Linked DNA regions of Arabidopsis thaliana. The protein of the gene in region 2 interacts with the protein of the main gene of each other region in a pairwise test. Each region holds a gene or a part of one and is shown on either strand. Other genes may lie near its edges.

What was found. Proteins that work in one complex are often made in the same cells at the same time.
Region 1: the proteins of SGR4 (region 2) and VAM3 interact in binary tests that used the Arabidopsis thaliana proteins (3 or more experiments, as listed by UniProt).
Region 3: the proteins of SGR4 (region 2) and SYP21 interact in binary tests that used the Arabidopsis thaliana proteins (3 or more experiments, as listed by UniProt).

The regions. Positions count from the first base shown.
Region 1 is NC_003076.8:19,011,499-19,015,806, forward strand, and holds VAM3 (Syntaxin/t-SNARE family protein), read right to left. Parts: upstream 2,613-4,308; 5' UTR 2,298-2,612; coding exon 2,113-2,297; intron 1,985-2,112; coding exon 1,891-1,984; intron 1,812-1,890; coding exon 1,672-1,811; intron 1,515-1,671; coding exon 1,452-1,514; intron 1,339-1,451; coding exon 1,181-1,338; intron 1,102-1,180; coding exon 1,001-1,101; intron 910-1,000; coding exon 844-909; 3' UTR 523-843; downstream 1-522. Other genes in the region: AT5G46850 (phosphatidylinositol-glycan biosynthesis class X-like protein), read left to right, coding at 1-136, 216-512; AT5G46870 (RNA-binding (RRM/RBD/RNP motifs) family protein), read left to right, coding at 3,988-3,993. UniProt on the Arabidopsis thaliana protein: May provide the t-SNARE function in the vacuolar assembly. Promotes the formation of vacuolar membrane 'bulbs'. Required for inflorescence stem gravitropism.
Region 2 is NC_003076.8:15,819,677-15,824,365, forward strand, and holds SGR4 (Vesicle transport v-SNARE family protein), read left to right. Parts: upstream 1-1,616; 5' UTR 1,617-1,881; intron 1,882-2,331; 5' UTR 2,332-2,358; coding exon 2,359-2,452; intron 2,453-2,542; exon of another isoform or gene 2,543-2,761; intron 2,762-2,980; coding exon 2,981-3,039; intron 3,040-3,126; coding exon 3,127-3,315; intron 3,316-3,419; coding exon 3,420-3,590; intron 3,591-3,762; coding exon 3,763-3,915; 3' UTR 3,916-4,164; downstream 4,165-4,689. Other genes in the region: GNL1 (GNOM-like 1), read left to right, coding at 1-234; AT5G39520 (hypothetical protein (DUF1997)), read right to left, coding at 4,244-4,339, 4,436-4,633. UniProt on the Arabidopsis thaliana protein: Functions as a v-SNARE responsible for targeting AtELP-containing vesicles from the trans-Golgi network (TGN) to the prevacuolar compartment (PVC) and mediates liposome fusion. May be also involved in retrograde traffic to the cis-Golgi.
Region 3 is NC_003076.8:5,532,324-5,537,022, forward strand, and holds SYP21 (syntaxin of plants 21), read right to left. Parts: upstream 2,973-4,699; 5' UTR 2,830-2,972; coding exon 2,621-2,829; exon of another isoform or gene 2,270-2,620; coding exon 2,176-2,269; intron 1,973-2,175; coding exon 1,836-1,972; intron 1,608-1,835; coding exon 1,533-1,607; intron 1,271-1,532; coding exon 1,113-1,270; intron 1,015-1,112; coding exon 914-1,014; intron 819-913; coding exon 753-818; 3' UTR 523-752; downstream 1-522. Other genes in the region: HSF3 (heat shock factor 3), read left to right, coding at 1-174; BPA1 (binding partner of acd11 1), read left to right, coding at 3,719-3,724, 4,432-4,541. UniProt on the Arabidopsis thaliana protein: May function in the docking or fusion of transport vesicles with the prevacuolar membrane.

The sequences.
Region 1 (4,308 bases), 3.2 Mb from region 2:
GTTTGGTGACACAAATCTTGAGCTGCCTTCGTTTAGATCGAACAGATCCGTCGTTGAGATTCATGTTGAAATCAGCTCTAGAAATTATGAAAATGGTGAAATAAGCTTTAAGCTTCCTTTACATGCTCGGTATCAGGTAAATGATCACTTGAACTAAGTCTTATTTTGGTCGATGTCAATAAGATTGGATCTTTACTTCTCTGTTATCTCCACAGCCTCTGGACGACAGTGGATACTCTAGAGTGGAGTTTGGCGAGCCAGACTTGTTCTTGTGCTCGAGCCATGTACAAAACCAGCGACGTGAACGGAGGAGATGTTTGGTTTTGTCGATTGGCAGATCGAAGACTGAAACCAGGTCTGTTTTCTGGGATATCCCTGCCGGAATCAGGGGTCATACAGAGTATGTTTCCGCCTTGACATTCGCCGCTGCGGTTTTTTCTGCATTTTCAATACTCGTGGCATCGGTTTTGAGCTCAAAGGGTGAATCTTGTAAAAACTTGAAGCAGTCATGACTCTGCTTTTGGTTTCAAACTTCTTTGTGACACTCATTGAGCAAATAGTTTTTGTTTCCTCTCAACAAAGATTTAGGAGAACATAGGAGAATCACAAACAAAACAGAGTTTCTGTCATCTCCAACAAAATGTTTGCACAACAAAAAAGCCACACACGCACACACTATTACATTAACCAATAGAACCTCAAACCGAACTGAACCAACCCAAACAAACACAAAACCAACTTCTAAGTGTTCTCTTCAACATATAATATATACCAAGTAGTTCCAGTCATTGATGCCTTAAGATCAATGAACACACACAAACGAAATGTTCTTGCTGTTCGAAATCAAGCTGCGAGTACTATAATCACGATCAGGAGAACAATGCCAAATATCACCAAGAGCAAGCATGTCTGCGTGTAAACAAGATCAACACATTAGCCTAAGGTTTCCAAAAAACATTCAGTCACTGTTTTTGTCTGAAAACTTTTTTGAGTGTTTTACCAGAGAGGAGTTTGATTTTTGTGTTTTCGCGGCTTGCACAAGCTGAGATTTTCCTTGTGAAGTTGCAGCACGGGAGTTGTCAATGTGAGTACCAATATCATCTGCAAGAAAGAAAAAAGTGAGTTCTCTAACTGCAGCTTCAAGGGCATGTTCTAATTAAGTTTAATAGATTGTCTTTACCTATCATGACTCCTTGATCGTTAACCAGAACCGCAAGATCTTTGAATATCTCGTTAACCTCACCAATTTGCTGATGGATTTCTTGTATTCCTTGCTCTCTTTCTTCAATCACAGCCTCGTTGAATGCAATCTCGTTGTCTAACAATACAAGTTCTTGTCTACAACAATCAAGCAAAGGAGAAAATAAGTTGCATCAACAATCAAGCAAAGGAGAAAATAAGTTGCATCATATAAGAGATGTGTAAAAGAATATTTTTTCGATATCACCTACCTTTTCGACTCCTGAAGTTGTGCCCGCTGTTCCGGTACCTTATCCACCTCACCCGCCGTATAGCTATATACGGAGTCAGACAAGAAAAATAAGGAACATGATTATCAAAACCACACAAACAATTCACAAAGTGATGCTTTTTGCTTATGATAATCACACTTCTAATTCGAATTCGAGCTTAACATACATGAAACCACATATAATCAATCAGTCACGTTACCTAGAGGGAAGAGCAGATTGAGGCACGAAAGGAGTATAAGTGGTTTCTCTTTCAGCAGCAGTTTGTTGAGCTTTCTGAAACTCTTTTAAAACAGCTTGAAAGTCCCTTGCAAGCTTAGCATCTGCAATCTTCTTACTTGGCTACACAATTACACAACAATCAAACACACAACAAAGAGTCGCTTAAAAACCAAACAAGAAGAAAAAGATTCCACTTTACATTGACACCGCTTTGATGATCAGTTTCACTAGCTTCTTTAAGTTTAGCTGAAGTATCCTTCACAAGCTGTCCAATATGCAACCTTGTCTTGTGCCTATCACAACAAAATCCGAATAATAATTTCTAAATTCAGAATCCACAAAAAAAAAAAAGCAATCAAAATTGAAATCAAAAATTCAATTTTTTTTATCAAATGAAATTTAGATTTCAATTTCAACATACAGCTTCTCCCGGAGCTCCGGTGTATCTTTGGGAGTACCAAGTGTGTTAACGAGTCGCTGAAACGTGGAGACTCCGGTATTGATCTGGAATATTCCAGAAGCAACGGCTTGTGTCGAATCTTGTCGACCACCATTGAATTTCCTCGTTGATCTTCCTCTTCCTGATTCTAAATCTTGAAAACTCATCTTCTTCGCGAAACCTCTTTTTTTCCTGGAAAAATTGGATCTACAAAAAGATTGAGAAATTGGTTATCGGAGTTTTCTCTAATCTCTGAGAAAAAAAAAACGAAGGTCAAGGCGTGGATCGTGGAGACAGATAGACGAAGATTGAAAAGCGTTTTCGAAAAAATCCCAAACTGATTTTAATTGAGAAGAAAAAGCTGAGATAAAGTTGTTTCCTTTTTGATCCTTTTATTTCTATATATTTAGTAACCTCTCCTCGTTTCTGTTTTTCTTGCCAAATTAAACAATTGGTTTGGTTTATTGAGATTTTGGTTTGGGTCAGTTTGTTTTTATTTTTGATTTGATTCAGTTTTAGTTAATAAACAATAATTTTTAGTTAGTTTATATATTAATATGATTATATTTTTTCTCAATATGTGTAAATAGTTAAAATGTAAAGTTTTAATAAAACATTTATTTGGTTTGGTTTAGTTCAGATACAATCAAATCAGTTTATATAAGATTCCACTACGGTTTAAACAGTTCAATTTGGTTCGGTGCCCTTAGTTTAACTATTTTAGGTGAAAGTTTAATAATGAAAAGTAGGTCTGGGCACGAAGCGAATATTCGGAAAAATTGTGATATTTGTTATTCGATTCGTTTTAACCGAATACTTGATTTTATGATTTGCTTTGATTCGAAACTTTCCGGATATCCGGAATTTCGAATATCCGGATTTTTTTGTGATATTTGCGGATATCCGCTTTGATACGTATAAATATTTTAAAAAAATATATAAACTATATAACCATATCAGATATTCAAAGTTTTTATTTAACATGCTTTCAAAATAAGTTCTAAATACCAAATATAACCTTTGTTGTTATCACCGGTCAACAAAAATGTTATCAAACTAATTCCAAAAACTAAAACTCGATAGTTTTTGATGTCATTGATCAAAACATAACATAAAAAAAAATATCAAACAAACATCTTAACATAAAAACATAAGGTAGCAACAATACACAAACTATTTATGATATCTATATATAGATATAACTATATATTCTAATATATATCAAAAGATACGGATCGAAGCGGATATTTGATTTTTTAAAAAACAATATTTGCTATTTGATTCGGTTTTTACGAATACTACATTTTCCTATTTGCTTTGGTCCAAAATCTTACGGAAATTCGGATTTTTCGAATCAAATCAAATCGAATACCGAATCGAAGCGGATCGATCGAATATTTTGCCCAGCCCTAATGGAAAGTGTTAATGTAATTACTTTATCAGCATTTTTTTCGCAAGATTTCCAATGATGAGGTTATTAAACTTTACTACATGTGAAAAGCAGAAACGGTTTTGGACACGTGGACGACAGATAGTGGTTGATAATGTGATTATGTCACGTCTTTTGTTTTGTTTTAAACGTAAGTACTATATGATTAAAATTTAATTAGAATCTTTCCCGACAAAGAAATAGCTAAGCACGACCTTTTTCTTCCTTGAAGTCGCCGGCGAGACAAAAAAAAAAAAACATAATCCCGACGGTTACACGTACCGGAGAATTGTATTTAAATTGAATCCGCTTTGTATTTTCCTCACAGCCAAAGATTTTTCCTTACTAGGATTTTCATTTTCTCTTCTGTTTTCGTTTCAAATTCAGAAAATCTTCCGTTTCAATCCGGTTTATATCGGTTTTTAGCAATGTCGGTGAGTACTCCTTCATATCCGATTAATCGTTCTCGTCTCGTATTTGTAGAATTTCGATCACCAGCTGCGATTAGATATGTTGAAATTGGCGTTTAGAATCACTAATTTTGGGTTTTACCTTCTTATGGATTACTTGTTTGATAAATGTGATTAGTATTTATCTAATTAGTTAAAACTTTGTGAATTTATTTTTGGACACAGCTTCTTATATGTATAACTTTTAAGTTAATCAGAACTTAACCAATTCGTTAACTTTAGGAGTAAGGGGTTTAACACTTTTGTGCTCTCTGTTTTCAAATTCATGTCAGTCTGAAC
Region 2 (4,689 bases):
AATGAACTCATCCCGGAACTGCTCAAGAACACATTACTGGTAATGAAGGCGACGGGAGTTTTATTACCAGGTGATGATATCGGAAGTGACAGTTTCTGGCAACTAACGTGGCTTCACGTTAATAAGATCTCTCCTTCTCTTCAATCTGAAGTTTTCCCTCAAGAGGAGCTTGATCAGTTTCAGAGACGAAACGCGAAGCCTGAGGATCCTCCGGTACCGGGAAATGAGGTCTGAGACGGTTTTGGTGGAATAGAGAAAATTTGTTCTATACAGATGAAAAAGCTTAATCAAGGATATCAATTTTTTTTTTGCAGTATAGCTTTTTTGTTTTTAATATAGGGGGATTATAATACTTTGGAGTCTTGAGCTTTTGTTTTTTTTATGGAATGTTATGTTGAAATTATGGGTTTGATTGGAAATATATTTGGAGGCAATTTGGAAACTGCTGCGTCTATTATACAAAGAACTTGAAAAATTCAATGGTACTGACAAAGAAAAATGGTACTCATCAAAACCAGAAAAGAAAAGTAAATTTTTGGTCCAAATCTCACTATTTTAATAACATTTTTTAAAAACAAAGAATTAAGAACAAAAACAAAATGACCTATAAAATTTTGGACTCTAATTCTTGGCTTGTGTGACTTTATTAACAGTTAAATATTACAAATTTTCAAACTCTTAAAAATTTAAACTTTATAAAACGTTTTAAATATTTATAATTTATAAACTTTATGAAGTTTTAAATATTATAAATATTTGTTATAATTTTGAATGTTATAAATTTATAAACGAAAAGAACTTGAAAAATTCAATGAAAACGAGTAACGACAAAGAAAAATGATAATCATCAAAACCAAATCTCAATATTTTAATAACATTTAAAGTTTTTAAAAAACCCAAAAAATTAACTAGTAGGCCTGGGCATAATACCCGGAACCGAATATCCGAACCGAAAAACCCGAAAAATAACCAAACCGAACCCGAATCCGATTTTTAGAATTACCCGAATGGGTCCTCGACCTTACTACCCGAAAAAACCCGAACCGAACCCGAACCGAATCTAATACCCGTGGGTACCCGAATACGAATGTAACTTAAATATATTAGTTATATATATATATTTGTAATACCTCAAATACCAAAATTAAAATTATAAATCCGATTATACTAGATTTTTTTAGTAATTCATATATATTTGGATATATTTGGGTAAAAGTAACAAATGTTATAGTTTTCTTTTAGATAATTTAAGTATTTTGGTTACATTTGGTTATATTTGTATAAAAAGTAACCAATATATTTACGGGTAATTGGGTATTTCGGGTTGATTTGGGTATATATGAATAAAAAAACCGAATCTAACCCGAACCCAAAAATATTTTGGGTATTTTTGGTTATTTTTACATTTTTACTAAAATAACCGAACCGACCCAAACCCGAACCGAAACCGAACCGAATTTTTAGAATACTCGAATGGTTCTCAACCTCCTACCCGAATAGACCCAATACCCGGAAAAAAAAACGAACCCGAACGGGTACCCGAATGCCCACGCCTCAATTAAGAACAGAAAAAGAAAAAAACTAACTTTCAGTGACCTATAAAAGTTTGGGCCCTAGAAGAGTCTTTTCGCAACACCAAAAATGGCAGATCCGCAAGCCCAACAAGGCAGTGGCATTGCCAAAAGATCTGGACAAAAAAAAGGCCAAGTGGTGTACAAAGCCTAGATGTAGGATATAATTACTCAACCGTCGAACATATTTTCCATAGATCATTCATAGACGTACGCATCATCAAATCAATTCATCGTCGTCTTCCACAATTGTCATCACCGATCGATTTTCCGACTCCGACGTACCTCCTCTTCCCCGTTACCTTCTCAGGTCTCAATCTGGCTTTCTCTATTTTTCGCCTAATTCCTCTTTTTCTGATTGTGATTCTGCTTTCTAATTTTGATCCTAATTTTTTGTGCTTATACTCCGGCTAAACTCTTCCATTTGTTCCGATCACCGGAATTTTCGTCACTTATTCGTCATCCTTTTTCTCTTTTGATCCGTCAATTTTACTTTTCTGTCTTTTTTTTTTCTCCTTTTTCCCCGTGTTGACATTTCTTTCTTCTGTACGTGATCTAGTTATCTTAGGGTTTTGGACTGCTATACAAAACAATCAATTGATTTTAGTTTTATCTTTTGAATCGTTGTAAGAATTTCAATAGCCTAGTCTTGTTGATGGTTTTGGGCTATTGAATCTGTTCTTAAAGTTTCAGCTTAATGTAATCTGTTCTTAATCAGAATTAGGGTTCATCATCATTGTGTGTGTTGCTGATTCTGCAGAGTTTTTAGTAGTCTTCCTTTGGAACAATGAGTGACGTGTTTGATGGATATGAGCGACAATACTGTGAGCTCTCGGCGAGTCTTTCAAAGAAGTGTTCCTCTGCTATTTCGCTTGATGGAGGTAAAATTGTTACTCTAATCTTTTCTAAGATGTGATACTTTTCCTACTCAGGCATTGCCTTACCTTCCTTAAGATTTGAAATAACTAATTCTGGTTTAGCTTATGAATGTAACAATGTACGAATTAGAGATATCTTGGTTTGTGTTTTTGATGCAGAGTATTGTGCGATTTAGATCCTTTAATTACTACTTCGTTGTAAGGACATAGTATTGGTTTCTGATTACGAAGAGAGCTTGTGATTAGTATTGGTCGCTGATCATCGCCATTTTTTTACACTGGGGATACTTCGGTTTTTGTTTGTTACTGAGAACGATTCTATAGATAGTTTGGTTTGTGTTTGATGACTATAAACTTCTTGTCTCCTTCATGTGTTGCTAGGACATAGTAGTGTGCCTTTCTTTTGCTTTCTTTGGAGATTGTGATTAGTAGTGTTCGCTGATCATCGGGATTGTTTTTTTTCCCCTAGATGAGTATGCTCTGTTGATTGCATAGATAAAAATGCATTGATGATACCTTATTAATTTGCAGAACAAAAGAAGCAGAAGTTGTCTGAAATAAAATCCGGGCTGGAAAATGCAGAAGTATTGGTATGTGATATGCGTAACGTGAAGTTATAGAAGCTTCTCTATTGTCCATTATTCATTTTGATGCTTCTCTGTCCTTTTCTTCACCAGATTAGGAAAATGGATCTCGAGGCAAGGACCCTTCCACCTAATCTTAAGTCCAGCCTCCTTGTCAAATTAAGAGAATTCAAGTCTGATCTGAACAATTTCAAAACTGAAGTGAAGAGAATCACATCTGGACAGTTGAACGCTGCTGCTCGTGATGAGTTGCTAGAAGCTGGTATGGCTGACACAAAGACGGTATGTAAAGGACTCGGTAGTATTGTTTCAATTTTATCTCATCTCATATCTTTGCTATTAAAACGACCTATGATTTTCTTTTTTTATTGAAACGCTGAGATCAGGCTTCAGCTGATCAGAGAGCAAGATTGATGATGTCAACTGAGCGTCTGGGCCGAACCACTGACAGAGTCAAGGACAGTCGTAGAACAATGATGGAGACTGAAGAAATCGGTGTTTCAATCCTCCAAGACTTGCACGGTCAGAGACAGTCTCTCTTACGTGCCCACGAAACGGTATTGTCTCTCTGCAACACATTTACTCCATATTCTCAACGATATTCTGAACAAAGTGACAAAATAAGATGAGAATTAAGGGCTATATCATAAAGAAGACTATGTTTTCTTGTTTTCTTTATCAACGCTGGATTGATATCGCGCTAACCAAAATTTAGAACTCTGTTGACAGCTTCATGGAGTAGACGATAACATTGGAAAGAGCAAGAAGATCTTGACAGACATGACGAGGAGGATGAACAAGAACAAATGGACCATTGGAGCCATCATCATCGCATTGATTGCCGCCATTTTCATCATCTTGTACTTCAAACTCACCAAGTAAGCCTCTGTAACTAAATCCGACCAAATCAAAGAACAACGGTTGTTTTCGTTTTGTGAGTCTTTGATTTATCCTGTTTCTTCTTTTTGTGTGAAAAGTTGTTTTGCCACCTTTGTATTCTAAATTTGACCATACATACTTTAAGCAAGTAAAGCTTCGGCCTAAGTGTCACGTATATTGTTTATATTGTTCATATCAAATCCAGAACTATACATGGTTAAACATTGAGATTAAAAGCCTCAATTATTTCAAACAATCGAGGTCTACATCTCGCACAATTGTTCATATATTGGATCTAGAACTATACATGATCAAACATTGATATCAATTACTAGTGTTTTTTTCTTTCATATTTGAATTTGCTATAATCAGCGACCAAGCTCTCAATAACCCTATGCTTCATGTTATCCACCAAACCGGCCAAAATCTGTAAAGGGCCAATCAAAAACATAAATCATGTATAAACCCGGAACACAGCATTTTGAGTCTCCAATCGCATATATGAAACAAGACAGTTTCTTACCGCATTGGCCATGTTTCTCCTAACATCTTCTGGTACAAGCGCGAGAACTGAAGGAAGCACGAAGCTAATGGTCGTTTCTAGTCGACCTTTGAGCCTCGTGTGCCTTCCACGCCGGTCTGGGTATAATGCTCCTTTTACTCCAAGAGTGAAATCAGTTGGTTCCATTACTCGGTCAAGCCCTTGAAGCTCCCATTTCGTCTGAAAATCGTAATTCAAATGTTAAATCAATAAAAATTCTGACTAGTGAATTTGTG
Region 3 (4,699 bases), about 10 Mb from region 2:
TTTTCTGTTGAACTCCCAGCGATTGCAGATACAGACGATATTCTATCAGGATCAGTGGAGAATAATGACTTGGTATTGGAACAAGAACCAAACGAGTGGACCCGTAATGAACAACAAATGAAGTATCTTACTGAACAAATGGGACTGCTTTCCTCAGAAGCACAGAGGAAATAAAGGTAAGAACATCGTTAAGTTCAAACATGTTTCTCTGCATTGTTGTATATCTTGAGAGTTATCAATTGTCTCTCACAATGTAGATTTTCAGGGGAGGTTGCAAAAGGAGATATGAAGGAACGAGGAATATATCAGATGGTGTGTATACCCTTTACATTTTTACTTAAATGAAAAAAAAACAGAGAGAAGAAACATAAAAGATTTACCACCAAGCTTGTGAATAGTTAGTAGAGATCGGTTTTTGTGTTGTTTATATTATACTTTTGTGTGAAAACGTTCATCTTGTTCAATTATCATCTCACTAGTACGGTAATCTGTTGGTCACTGACCGGTTAATGACCAAAAAATCAAGATTATTTTCTTATGTTTATTTCTTTTGATCATGAAGATCCTTATGATGGAGTAATACATTGATTAAACATTCACACGATGAGAAGTTAAGATCAATTTGGTTGAATGGGGAAGATGGAGTATAAAGAATCTGTACATTAGATATATATCTTTAATGGGTCTTTGTATAGTTTCCATAGATTCGCTTGATGCTTGAAGATTGAAGCTTGGAGTTATATGTTTGATGCTTAGACCAAGACAACGATGATGACAATGAGTAGAACAATCCCAAAAATGAGAATAAGTAGGCATGTCTGCAACAAAGTAAAAGACAACAAACTTAGCTTAAGCTGCTAAGAATATGAAATCACAGAACTGAAAATGAGAAGAGAGTCTGTTTAGTCCGTACCAAAGAGGAGTTTGATCTTTGAGTTTTAGCTGCTTTTCTGAGTTGAACAGTGGCTTGTGTAGTTGCAGCATGTGAGTTGTCAAGGTTAGAGCTGATGTCATCTGCCAGTGCACATTATAGTTTTTTTCTGAGACTTTAAAAAGGCAAAGAGAAAACGAACAGGGAGATTTACAATTTCTGATTGTTTGGAGTTACTTACCGACAATATTTCCTTGATGGTTCACCATAAGAGCTAGATCTTTGAACATGCCATTCACATCACGAATCTGGTCTTCAATTTCTCGAATCCCTTGCTCTCTTTCCTCAATAATTGCTTCATTGAATGTTATCTCGTTATCTAAAAACACCACTTCTTGCCTGGAATGAGAATATAAAAAGTTAGCGAATAGCAAGCATCTCCCTGCATCCAGGGACATAACCAACTTCGAAAAATTTATTAACCTATTCTAAGGCTTCTATTAACAATTCAGGCTACAGTGAGTGCCAAGTGTAACGATGGTTTGAATTTGAACTCTCGAGAGCAAAATGCATGCTAGACTAACATTTGGTTTATGCTTATAATTGATCAAATGAATTAGTAAAATAACATGCTAGCATATAATCAAATCACACTCCTCACCTTCTTGATTGTAGAAGAAGAGCTTGCTGCTGGGAGATCCTTAAAGATTCAGTATCCAGTTCAGGTGCATTATAACTGCATGGTGTGGCATGACAATGAAGCATGTGTAAGTGAAACTCACATTCCACAAAATATCAGAACAATCCTACGTTCAAAAATTCTTTTGTACAAAACAACAATAATAACATGCGAGTATATAATCCGGAGACTTTTTTTCTTCTCATTTAGGAAACAACGAGATTCATTTACCATGATCTTCTGTTTTTTAACAGGTATTGAAACATAACTGGTCAAAGTGGTTACCTGGTAGGTATTTCTTTTGTGACCACAGGAGTATATGTTATTTCTCTTTCAGCTGCAAGTCTCTGAGCTTTCTGAAACTCTTTGAGAACTGATTGGAAATCTTTTGCCAGTTTAGCATCAGCTATCTTCTTAATTTGCTGCAAGAATACAAACATAACATCAAAACTAGAATACACATATCATCAATCATGTAAACAATTCTCCCACTAAATGAATAAAATGGTACGATTCTGACAAAATTAAACCAAAATAAAACTGGTTCAATAGAAAATGTTCTCTTAGACACTAACATTCCATAGCATCGTAAGGGAATGAAACAAAAAAGTAAGCATTTGCTTACACTAGCTGATCCATGAAGGTCGGCTTCGCTAGCTTCCTTAAGTTTAGCTGAAGTATTCTTCACCAATTCGGATATCTGTAACCTTGTCTTTTGCCTGCCAACAAAAGAACCTAACACTTTAAAACAATTCACAGAACAAATAGATGAAACCAATCTAAAAAAAAAACAATTTCTCAATACACACACACACACACACACACACAAAAAGCTCATTATTTGCAATGTTGTCAGGCATTATTTGCAATGTTGTCTCACATCGATCAGCAAACTCAAATTTGTTCTTCGGTTAAGGGAAAATAATGCAGGATTAGCTTCAAAACAATTAGAAAACTTTTTCAATTAAAAATTGAAATGAAATCGACCAAAATCAATAAGTAAAACCAAAACCCTAATCAACAGAGATTTAACAAAGAGAAGAAGAGTGTGATTAAGAATTGCTACTGACAGCTTATCTCGTAATTCAAGAGTATCTTTAGGTGTTCCGATCGAATTAACGAGGCGGAAGAAGGAATTGACAGCCGTGCTGATCCTGAAAATCCCGGCGGCGACCTCCTGAGATGGATCCCCACGAGACGAAGGTCTCTGTTGTCTCCCACCGGTAAAACGATTCGGCGCCGGAGATCGAGTACCAGCTTCGAGATCTTGGAAACTCATCGTCTCTTCTCTCGAATCTCTCGAAATTCTCTTATCTCTATCTCAGGGGAACAAACGAAGACGAAGATGATGGAAATGAGTTAGGTGAATTATAAGTTTTCCCAAAATTTAATGTTAATTTTTGTTTTATAATTTGTATAAATCATTTAATCTCATGTGGTCCGCGTGAATATGGTGGTGGAGGGAATTTATTAATACGTATAAATTATTTGGCGGTGACACGCCATTGCGAGGGAAGAATCCTGCGTGTCGTTGTTGACCTCACCTGCCCTTCCGTGTAAAATTGAAACTCGGTTCGAGTAAACCGGACCAATTGAGTGGGTTTGCAGGATAAGGATTGGTTAAATGATTTTGGGCTACATTGGAGTTTAGTAAAAGGAAAAGAGAAGAGTTGGGCCAAAAACAAGGAGAAGTCCAACTTTTTTGTAATTACCAAGTTATCATATTTTATGACTGAATTAATAATTACAGTAATCACTTTGATACATAAACCACTTTTTATAGAAAAACAATGATATATTTTTGTTGATAAAAAGTAAAATTTTTATGTATTTTTTTCTAATAAAACATAAACTTAATAATTGTGTTACGAAACTCCTAACTTTTGTTTTGAACTGAAGAGGGAAAAAATAGAAATATATACTAAAAAAGTGAAAATATTAATTGTTGGAAACAATTAGGGACTAAAATAGGATTAAAGGGCGTAACGCAAACCCACACGTTGAGTGTGAGGTGTCATATAAAGCAAAATACACTCTTCCCTCTCTATCTATCTACGCATCATCGATCTCGAAGTACGTTTCGGTTTTCAGGCCAATCTCTGAATCTGCGTGACAAAAGCAACAAATTACATATCTCTCTCTCTGCGCGACTTCGAAGATCAACATCCATGGCGGTATGCTCTACTTTTTTTTTGTGTATAATTTTGTTTTATGCGGAAAAGGTTTAGGTTTCCTCTGCTGGTAGATATTGTTGCGATCCATTTGTTTATCGGGAAATTTTCTCAGGATTGATATTTTTGGCTATTGATTTGATTTCTTCTTCAATTTGGATGATCTGTTGTTTGATTGCTGCACTTGCCGACATAATATCTCCAATGCTATTTGGACGAGTTTGATGATTATTATTGTCGTTATTAATTGATTCTGTATCTCTGTGTGATCTGTATTCGTGCAATTATCTCTATTATCTCCTTGATTTCTCGGTTTTGGTTTTCGTTTATCGTAGTAAATCGCGATTGTGTTATTCTCAATTTGGAACCGAATCTCGCTAGCCAATTTACTTTTAGATTCCTCCATACATTGTCGATTAGTTTCCTTAATTGGTAGCCTTCATGGTTCATTCGAGTTTTCTTTTTGTATAGTGAGATGATGACAGTCATCTTCTAAGCCACTATAATATTATCCCTTTACTTGCATAATTGTATAATCTTGTGATAAATCTAGGCTTCTTTGAGTTTGAGCTGATTTGATTAAAATGGGACTTTCGGTCGATTAGATATGCTTGGATACAAAAAGTAGTTGTACTGTAAACATTCTCATGAAACACCTGTTTATTGTTTTCGTTAATGATTCTTTCCCTTTTGATTCTTTATGATGACAGTCACAGGTAAGGTCAGTAAAAGTTGGCAATCTCTCTTCAGGAGCAACTGAGCATGATATTAAAGAGTTTTTCTCTTTCTCTGGTGAAGTTGAAAGCATCGATATCCAAAGGTTAGTGATATTGTTTCCTTGTTCTTTGATTTCAAAATTTTGACATTTAAAGCTTTTTTTGATCAATTAACTTCCGAAGCTTTTTCTCAGCAAATTTAGATACAGTTCTCTTAAACTTACTGACTCTGAGCTTTGTTTTTGTTTTCTTTTTCTAACTA